Linked DNA regions of Arabidopsis thaliana. The protein of the gene in region 1 binds, or shares a complex with, the protein of each later gene. Links are inferred from orthologs where the notes say so. Each region holds a gene or a part of one and is shown in the gene's direction. Other genes may lie near its edges. The genes, in order: FLN2 and TRX z.

Region 1 (4,850 bases):
CATCTCTTTCTCAATTTTCTTGAGAACGTTCAAGAGTTCATGAGGTTTGAGCTTTGTGACACCTCTTATTGCAGCGTTGAGAAATCTTGGTTGGTCGGTCACATGAACAGGTTCTGTTTCGTACAAACAACTGTGTCTGGTTACACTGATCCCATAGTCTTTCATCAATCGTAAAGCTTCTTTGAAATTATTCATTCTGTTTCCAACATTGCTTCCCAAAGCTATCACGACTTCTTCGAAAGTTGTTGTTTCCAAAGATGTGAAATCTGAGTCATATACAAAACATGTTTCGAAGGTGAAATATGATTCAATACTTAACAGAAATTAGTGTATCAAAACGTAAACGCTGTTTTTTTCAACGAAAATGAAACGGATGAAAAAGATACGAACCCATTTTAGAATAGGTTCCTCCAAAATATCAGTATTGTCTGCTTCGATCTGACCTTAAAGTATACAAAACTATGAGTTTAGTCTTAGATAACAACGAAACAATTATTAGAAACACAAAAAATGGGTTCTAATATTTTAAGAACCAAGGAAGTAAACAATACTTATGTATGAGAGAGGCAAGGTGGTAGCCAATTTTCACCTACTTTTTTTCTGAACTTGTTGTGTTATCCAAGTACCTTCTGTCTTTCACGCTCGTCAAAAGTCAGCTTCTCTTTTGAATTAGATATGAAGATCTAGAAAAGAAAAGAAAAAAGAGAAGAAAACTTTGTTTTTAGAGAGATTTTGAAATTGGTAATGAATCTCTCATAATTTTGAAATTGGTAGTGAATCTCTCATAATTCTTTTCATTATCTATTCTATCTTTTACCATTTAAACATATATTTGGATAGATGATGGAAAATTGTGTGTTAGTCTCCAGCTATTTCATTCCATTTTTAAAAAATATCAAAATTTTCATAGATTTGTTCTGACTACATCAATTTTCTTTCATTCCACTCAAGGCACTCATGGTTACATTACCAATAGAAATTAATTAACCATACAAAATTCTAATTATTATAACTCCAGACGATATTATTTTCACTATATAGCAAAAAATAGCCGTTTTACCATAACATATATACAGTCTATATTTTTTGACGAAAAATAAATAAATATACAGTATATATATATATATATATCCTCGTGTTAGAATTGTATTAAGTTTTTCATCACACCATCTTTAGGCATTATTTCTATGCCAATCAAATCATTTACTCGTAAATCATCATAGTAATTATGATTTCAGTTAATCGTAAGTTTTTTGTAGCTTTGTGATGATGAGCCAATTAACTTCACAACAAAATATTTTCCTTGAAGTAGTTTTTTAATAGCAAACGATTTCACGAAAAACTTTACATAACAAATATTTCTACCTACATTAAAAGAATGTCATATAGACAATACTAAATTCACTAGCTTTAAAGAAGAAAAATGAGCCGTAAATAAATTATAGTAGACAGAATAGGGACATCTTGACGTTTTAGTATTTTGATCATAGAATGCTTGCCGTTTCGTTAAAGCGCTAAACCTCCTCCTCATCCTCTCCCAGCTAGCTCCTCTTGCGGTTTCAGAGCTTAAACCCCAATCTCCCTCAAAACTCATAAACATATTGCTCTCCTTTGTTCATTTCTGGGTTTACGCTTCTTTCGACTTTATGGGTTTCGGAGCTTAGTTTTACTACAATTTCGTTTGGAAAAGAGCTCTTATTTGATGTTCATGGCGTCTCTCTCCTTCACCCAATTCTTATCATTCCCCAGGTCCCTTTGCTTCTCTCTCTCTCTTGTTTTCTAACCTTAGGAAATTTTAGTATATGGGTTTCTATGGATTTGGCGTAGAACCAGTTTACTGCCCAAAAATGTGCGAACTTTAAGTTTAGCTCATCTTATCTTTCTACAGAAGAATGGAGTAACAATGATTTGAATTGAGGGCTATATTTGTCTTTCTGTTTGAAAATTTCACATTTTGATGTAATGGTTTTCTCATAGCTGTGCTTTGATTTTGGCAGATGCAATGCAGATGTTCCTTGTCTGCTCCAGTCGCATGGTTTTGTGAAGTTTAGAGGTGAAAGATGGAATGGGAAACAAAGCTTTTCTATGGCTGCTGGTAGGAGAAAGTTATCAGAGTCAGCACCTCTTGAAGAAGAAGGTAATGATGGAAACGGTGCGGTTGTGGGAAAGAAACCATCTAAAAGTGTTAAGAGAACAACGAAGAAGAAGGTTGTGGTTAAGGATGAACCATTAGAAGAAATTTCTGAATTTTTGGTTGATAATGATGATGTTTTAGACAAGGAAAGCATTGTCTCAGCTTTGAAACCAAAAAAGACAAGAACTAGAAAGAAAGGTAATGACTTTTACCATTTCTGAGCTGATGGTTCTCACTTGATGATTCACGAGTACTTAATTTGAATTCGACATATATACAGCTGCAGCAGCTTCTTCTGATGTGGAGGAAGTAAAAACCGAGAAGAAAGTGAGACGAAAGAGGACTGTTAAGAAAGATAAAGATGTGGAGGATGATTTAGCTACTATTATGGATGCTGAGGTTAGTGATGTCGAGGAAGCATTGGCTGTTGAAAGCACTGATACAGAGAGTGAAGAAGAAGAGATTGATCTGAGTAAACATGAAGGTGAAGATATTAGTCACACTTATGGATGGCCTCCTCTCGTGTGTTGCTTTGGATCTGCACAACATGCTTTTGTGCCTTCGGGAAGGCCAGCAAACAGGCTATTAGATTATGAACTACACGAACGGATGAGAGATGCAAAGTGGGCTCCAGAGAAGTATATCCGGGCTCCTGGAGGATGTGCAGGAGGTGTTGCTATTGCTCTTGCAAGCTTGGGTGGTAAGGTTGCTTTTATGGGCAAACTTGGGGCTGATGACTATGGTCAAGCCATGTTGTATTATCTGAATGTGTGCAAAGTCCAAACTAGATCAGTTAAGATTGATGGTAAAAGGGTTACGGCGTGTTCTACTATGAAGATCAGCAAGAGAGGTCGCTTGAAATCGACTTGTATTAAGCCATGTGCAGAGGATTCACTTTCAAAATCTGAAATCAACGTTGATGTGCTCAAAGAGGTAATATATTGTCCTGGAGATTTGGAACATTGAGTTTTTGGCTCTTTTTCTTGTTCACCAATCTCTTAACTTTGGTGCAGGCGAAAATGTTCTACTTCAGCACGCATTCTCTACTCGATAAGAAGATGATGTCAACTACGATACAAGCCATCAAGATATCAAAGCAACTAGGCAATGTCATTTTTTATGACTTGAATCTCCCTTTACCACTATGGCACTCCAGCGAAGAAACCAAGTCTTTCATACAGGAAGTGTGGAATCTTGCAGACGTCATTGAAATCACAAAACAGGAACTTGAATTCTTATGCGGAATCGAGCCTACTGAAGAGTTCGATACAGAAAACAATGACATCAGTAAGTTTGTCCATTACCCGCCAGAAACTGTGGAACAGCTTTGGCATGAAAATCTCAAGGTCTTGTTTGTGACCAATGGCACTTCTAAGATCCATTACTATACCAAAGAGCACAATGGTGCTGTTTCCGGAATGGAGGATGTTCCCATTACTCCTTTTACAAGGGATATGTCAGCATCTGGAGATGGCATCGTTGCAGGTACATTTTCACTTGTGTCATTTGTTTTTCATAGCAATTTGGAAGTTATGCTTGCGATTAACTGAACCACACTACTCTCTATTTCAGGTCTAATAAGAATGCTTACGGTTCAGCCAGATCTTATGAACAATAAAGGGTACCTGGAACGCACAGCGAGATATGCAATTGAGTGTGGTATTATTGATCAATGGTTGCTGGCACAAACCCGAGGATATCCTCCAAAGGATGACATGGAAGAAGAAGAAGATGATGAAGAAGAAGATGAAGTGGAATCAGATCCAAACGGTATAAGATCGATAACAGAGAAGGAATACAGAACCTCAAAGCCTTATGATGAACCAGATGGTCCATACGTTATGAAACCAGTAGAGGAAAGGGAGTACAAGAAGTTAGAGCTTGTTGGCTCAATGTTTGAAGATGGTAGTTTATGATTTTCATAAGATTTGATAATGTTTCTGTTAGTCAGCTTTTTTTTCCTGTTCACATCTTACAACATCTTAGTAGTGTGAATTTTTGTCATATGTTTTGATATCTCACTCACCATCTCAACTAATACAAAATCACTTGAAATTATCCGGAAACAGCAATGTGAAACTGCAGTGACGATGAACTTACTTTAATAGCAACTCTACTTCTACGTCTACTTAACTAATCCAAGTAGAGATTTATCTTCTTGTGATCTGCGAAAGGCAGTGTGATTCTCAAGTCCTTTTGTTTCCGGCTTAACGGTCTGCCTTTGCTTTCGGGATCTCTGTTCTCCCTTACATCTGCTAATTTCCAGACACAGTTATCTGATTCTGCATCTATAGACTCCAAGAGGAACACTCCACTCTTTACTGCTTTCCTCGAGTTTGTTTCTTCTACATAGCTTACTGTCATTGGCATATCCTTGAATCGGGGCAAGTCCTCTGGGACTCTCAGTAGCCTCTCCGCTCCTGGAGATGACACCTACACAGAAAAAAAAAAAACGGAAACAAAATTTTGTAACAAAACTGAACCAAGTGAGAGTTGATTCACTGGGGAAAGACTCTTTTTGACCTCAAGGGCTAGATCCTCTGGGATTACTTTTTCAGCCCCAGCATCATCTAGTCTTTTCTTAAATTCTCGACTAAATTCCTCAAGCTCATCCATGGTAGGACATCCATATCTTTTTTGTACAATAAAAAAGAAGAAGCTTTCGTTAATTCTCAAAACATACTGCTCTTTTGCAATGGTTTGATGATATAGAAGG
Region 2 (4,491 bases), on another chromosome or scaffold:
TCTGTTGCCACTCTGTCCATATTAGCAGATAGGATGCAGTGCCTTTTTTGCTATATATTGCTTGTGTTTGAGTTTTGTTACAATTAATTCTTGTTTTAAAGTTTAAACCAACAACATGCACAAATTTTTTGCTTGGTGAAATTTGGTTTTTCATGAGTTTAGCAAAGGTGATTTTTCTATATCTGAAATAGTTTACATCGTTTTACTTGGAAATCTGATTTTACTTCTTCTCCAGTGCGTGATCAATAGTGGTGCTCTACCTTGTCTTGCCAACCTGCTCACTCAAAACCATAAGAAAAGCATAAAGAAGGAAGCTTGCTGGACGATTTCAAACATCACAGCAGGCAACAAAGATCAGATCCAGGTAGGCAATTAGTACTGTTTCATCATATGTTTTGTACCGTTTCCCATCCAGACTTCTATACCTATTCATTAATTGTGTTGTTTTTCCCCTGATGGTTGCAGACGGTAGTTGAGGCTAATTTGATTTCCCCGTTGGTGAGTCTGCTTCAAAATGCTGAATTTGACATTAAGAAGGAAGCTGCATGGGCAATTTCAAATGCAACTTCAGGTGGTTCTCATGATCAAATAAAGTATGTCACTGTCTTTTTTGCGTTCCTCTAACTTCCAGTTTCTTCTCTCATATATATACTTTGTGTATATATATATTGATGTTCTGTTCCCGTTGGTTATACAGATACCTGGTGGAGCAAGGGTGCATAAAACCATTATGCGATCTCCTGGTTTGCCCAGATCCAAGAATCATAACTGTCTGCCTTGAAGGATTGGAAAACATTTTGAAGGTGGGAGAGGCAGAGAAGAACTTGGGTCACACAGGAGACATGAACTATTACGCTCAGCTGATTGATGATGCAGAAGGGCTAGAAAAGATCGAGAACCTTCAGAGCCATGACAACAATGAGATCTATGAGAAGGCTGTTAAAATTCTGGAGACATACTGGCTTGAAGAGGAAGATGATGAGACACAGCAACCTCCAGGTGTTGATGGTTCTCAGGCTGGGTTCCAGTTTGGAGGGAATCAAGCTCCAGTACCATCCGGAGGATTCAACTTCAGCTGAAGGTAAATAAAAGTAAAAATTCTTAAATTTCTAACAACGTCTCTTGATGAAAACATGCAAAATCTGATATTTAGATCAATATAAACCCACAGGAATGGAATTGGAAGCTTGCAACTTGAGAATGGTGAAAGGTCAGAGTCAGTCAGAGTCTAGTTTCACTGCCATGGTTATACTCCAGGTCTGGTCTGGTCTGGTCTCAGAGGTTTGTACCGGGTGGTCGGTTTAAAAGTACAGCGTCTGAGAAAGTGTTTGGTTCATTGTCCAGGGCTATTTTTTTGAAATGACTGGTACACCGGTCGTGAGTCGACCTTTGTGTTGTTTTTAAATTTTGGAGGGTTATAAAAACTTACAGTGGAGTCTTTTGTTTTTGTGTTGACAACAGTTTGTATGTCGGTTAAAAAATTGAAACCATAAACCCTTTATTGGTCTTAATATGTTTGGTGTCTGATTTCCTAAGGAAAGGTTTTTTTTTTTTTGGTCAAACCTAAGGAAGGGTTTATCTTCGAGTTATAAAGACTCGAATCTTTATTTGAATTATGAAGTAAAGTATACATAAAACAGCAATAAATTATTATGAATTTGACTTTACCTGAGCAAGTAAATTGTAAAAAGACAAGAACTAATGAACTATTAGTATATGTCCAGTTCAATTGCCTTATCGTCTAAAACCCCTCAAAAGCTAAAACTGAAATCATTTTGAAGCAGAAATCGATTTCCAAAATGGCTCTTGTTCAATCCAGAACTTTTCCACACCTCAACACTCCGTTATCGCCGATTCTATCCTCCCTCCATGCTCCGTCTTCTCTCTTTATCCGGAGGGAAATCCGACCGGTAGCCGCGCCGTTCTCCTCCTCCACCGCCGGAAACTTGCCCTTCTCGCCGTTGACGCGTCCGCGAAAGCTTCTCTGTCCTCCGCCTCGCGGCAAGTTTGTCAGAGAAGATTATCTTGTGGTACGGACAATTTCTCGCTTTCTCTCACGCTCCAAACAACATATTTTGTCGATTTCAAAAAATTTCATGTTTGTTTTCGTTTTACGACTTCCTTTTTCGCCTTTCTGGGAAATTAAGTTGGCTGGGCATAGATGTAGTTATTATATAAGAACGATATATGGTAGTTCTATCAAAGATTCGACCAGTACACTGTTAAATACTTCAGAATAGAGATTTGCTTAATTTGAATCTTATGAATGACTCTTGTTGATACCATCATGTGGAAGCCTCACTGATTTCTGGATGTTTTTTGTTCCTTTTCTTATGGTTTGACAGAAGAAATTGTCAGCTCAAGAACTTCAGGAACTGGTGAAAGGAGATAGGAAGGTGCCGTTGATTGTTGATTTTTATGCGACATGGTGTGGACCTTGTATCTTGATGGCCCAGGAACTAGAAATGGTACCATGGATTCTCATAACTCAACTTTCTTACACATTCTCCATTTCACTTGCTTCATGTGTAGACTCTAGAATGCTTATATATTTCCAAACGTTGGCTCTTGGAACCCGGTTGTTCGTTATAATATACTTGAATCTTGAAATGTGATGGTATATTACTGTTAAGTCTAGTGCAGTACTATTGTAACTTGCATAGGAGTTGGGCAGTGCATTATAGCTTTGGTAGCTCATCAACAAATCTTTACAGTTTACTGAGATCTTAATGTTTAAAGAGGGGCTATGAAAATGTATTGGGGGCACTCTGGATTTGTCTTGGGTCTTGGTTTGGCAATTGACTAGAGTTGAAAGACCGCTCTCATTAATCAAGTCTCTTCTATGGTTTAGTTCTTTTGGTGAATTAGATAAAGGAGTTAAACAGTTCCAATCTTACGACTGTTTCTCCCATACTTTATGACAAAGATACCTTGTCGCGTAGTTGGCATGTCTACAAATTCAAAAGAAATGTGTGAGATAGGAGAATCTAAGCATCTTCTTATTGATTGGCTTTATCTACTTGCTTTTTCACTCATGACACTCGTGTTAAATAGTTTTTGCTCATTGTGAAACAGCTTGCAGTAGAGTATGAGAGCAATGCAATAATCGTGAAAGTTGATACAGATGATGAGTACGAGTTTGCACGCGACATGCAGGTATACTGTAACTTGCAGCTTATGTTTTTAAATTTCATGAATCTCCTCTCAGCATATCAATGTAAATTCTTACATTAACCAACTCTTGTGATACAGGTTCGAGGGTTACCTACATTATTCTTCATCAGTCCTGACCCAAGCAAAGATGCAATCAGGACAGAAGGGCTAATTCCGTTACAGATGATGCACGATATCATTGACAACGAGATGTGAAGTTTTTACTGAGAAAACACTTTTGTACTCTTTATGATTTGATTAGAATCGCCGTAATTTAGGATTGGTACCGTGTTGTTTGCATTTGAGATGTGGTAAGAATGTCTTCTAGTTTCATAGATGAAGAATGTAGTCTTAAGACATTTGTTTGTATGCAGTGTTCGTTTCAATACCTAAGTGAAAAGGTTAGAGCTGTTGATCTGGTCGGATCCAAGTTATGTGGCACATCAAATTCACGATCCGGTCCATGTAATAACACTGTAGCTTAAACTTGGAAGAGAGAGATATGACGTCATTAAAGACTTTTTCCCCATTTCTTGGTTGACATTAAACCGGGACGAAAGTATTATTAAACACCATTATTAGGAAAAACACGACGCCATTCGAAATGGCGCCCAAATTATGCGAAAATTTTCCTACAGGGTTATGTGCGATATTTGGCGGGTGGCTCTAGCCTGATATTAGAGGACGTAAACAGGGGTAATTTCGTCTTTTAAAGCAATAAATTAAAGCTAGGGTTTAGCCGAACCAATTTCATTTATAATTGGCCATTTGGTTTAGTTTTTGTGAGGTATCTGTTGGGTCGTTTCTTTGAAATCAAAAAAAAAAAATCTCTGTTTCTCTGACACTCTCTCTCTCTGTTTCTACTTTCAAGATTCAAATTTTTGTTCCCCTGATCCACTCGTCTTTGAATTCTCATCAAGTCTTATATGTTTCTTGCCTACTCTGATCTCTATCGGAAACCCTAGATCCATATCTTCTTGACTTGACACTAGTTCACGAATCACGATCTGCGGTTCCTGAAGCTGGTAATGCTAGATCCCACCGAGAAAGTGAGTGATCTGATTCCCTCTTCTCGCTCTGATATCTAGCGATCGGATTGATTAAGCTTAACGCGCTACTACTTCTGTGTTTAGGTAATCGATTCAGAATCAATGGAAAGCAAACTCACATCAGTAGATGCGATCGAAGAACACAGCAGCAGTAGCAGTAATGAAGCTATCAGCAACGAGAAGAAGAGTTGTGCCATTTGTGGTACCAGCAAAACCCCTCTTTGGCGAGGCGGTCCTGCCGGTCCCAAGGTTAGTCTCTTCCCCGATCTTAATTTGACCTAATTGTTAT

Evidence for each region.
Region 2: the proteins of FLN2 (region 1) and TRX z are in contact, whole or in part, in a cryo-EM structure (PDB 8XZV), measured with the Spinacia oleracea proteins. The link is inferred for Arabidopsis thaliana from one-to-one orthologs. Residues at the interface, in XP_021858068.1 of Spinacia oleracea: Gln218, His219, Ala220, Phe221, Val222, Pro223, Ser224, Gly225, Arg226, Pro227, Ala228, Arg230, Leu231, Ile232, His234, Gln235, Ile236, His237, Leu240, Lys241, Ala243, Phe250, Ile251, Asp282, Tyr283, Thr286, Trp308, Ala310, Met311, Ser312; in XP_021862427.2 of Spinacia oleracea: Tyr73, Lys77, Ile83, Thr84, Val87, Arg88, Phe99, Tyr100, Thr102, Trp103, Gly105, Pro106, Ile108, Leu109, Gln112, Asp131, Asp133, Tyr136, Phe138, Ala139, Arg140, Asp141, Met142, Gln143, Val144, Arg145, Gly146, Leu147, Pro148, Tyr151.

What each region holds. Positions count from the first base shown.
Region 1 is NC_003070.9:26,014,316-26,019,165, forward strand, and holds FLN2 (fructokinase-like protein), read left to right. Parts: upstream 1-1,708; coding exon 1,709-1,749; intron 1,750-1,997; coding exon 1,998-2,332; intron 2,333-2,414; coding exon 2,415-3,067; intron 3,068-3,147; coding exon 3,148-3,619; intron 3,620-3,706; coding exon 3,707-4,050; downstream 4,051-4,850. Other genes in the region: AT1G69190 (Dihydropterin pyrophosphokinase / Dihydropteroate synthase), read right to left, coding at 1-266, 391-394; AT1G69210 (Uncharacterized protein family UPF0090), read right to left, coding at 4,268-4,567, 4,658-4,766. UniProt on the Arabidopsis thaliana protein: Required for proper chloroplast development, most likely through regulating plastid-encoded polymerase (PEP) dependent chloroplast transcription.
Region 2 is NC_003074.8:2,122,477-2,126,967, forward strand, and holds TRX z (Thioredoxin z), read left to right. Parts: upstream 1-1,678; 5' UTR 1,679-1,799; coding exon 1,800-2,030; intron 2,031-2,345; coding exon 2,346-2,468; intron 2,469-3,075; coding exon 3,076-3,156; intron 3,157-3,252; coding exon 3,253-3,369; 3' UTR 3,370-3,680; downstream 3,681-4,491. Other genes in the region: IMPA-1 (importin alpha), read left to right, coding at 236-364, 466-593, 698-1,079; GATA15 (GATA transcription factor 15), read left to right, coding at 4,182-4,202, 4,287-4,451. UniProt on the Arabidopsis thaliana protein: Thiol-disulfide oxidoreductase that plays a role in proper chloroplast development, most likely through regulating plastid-encoded polymerase (PEP) dependent chloroplast transcription.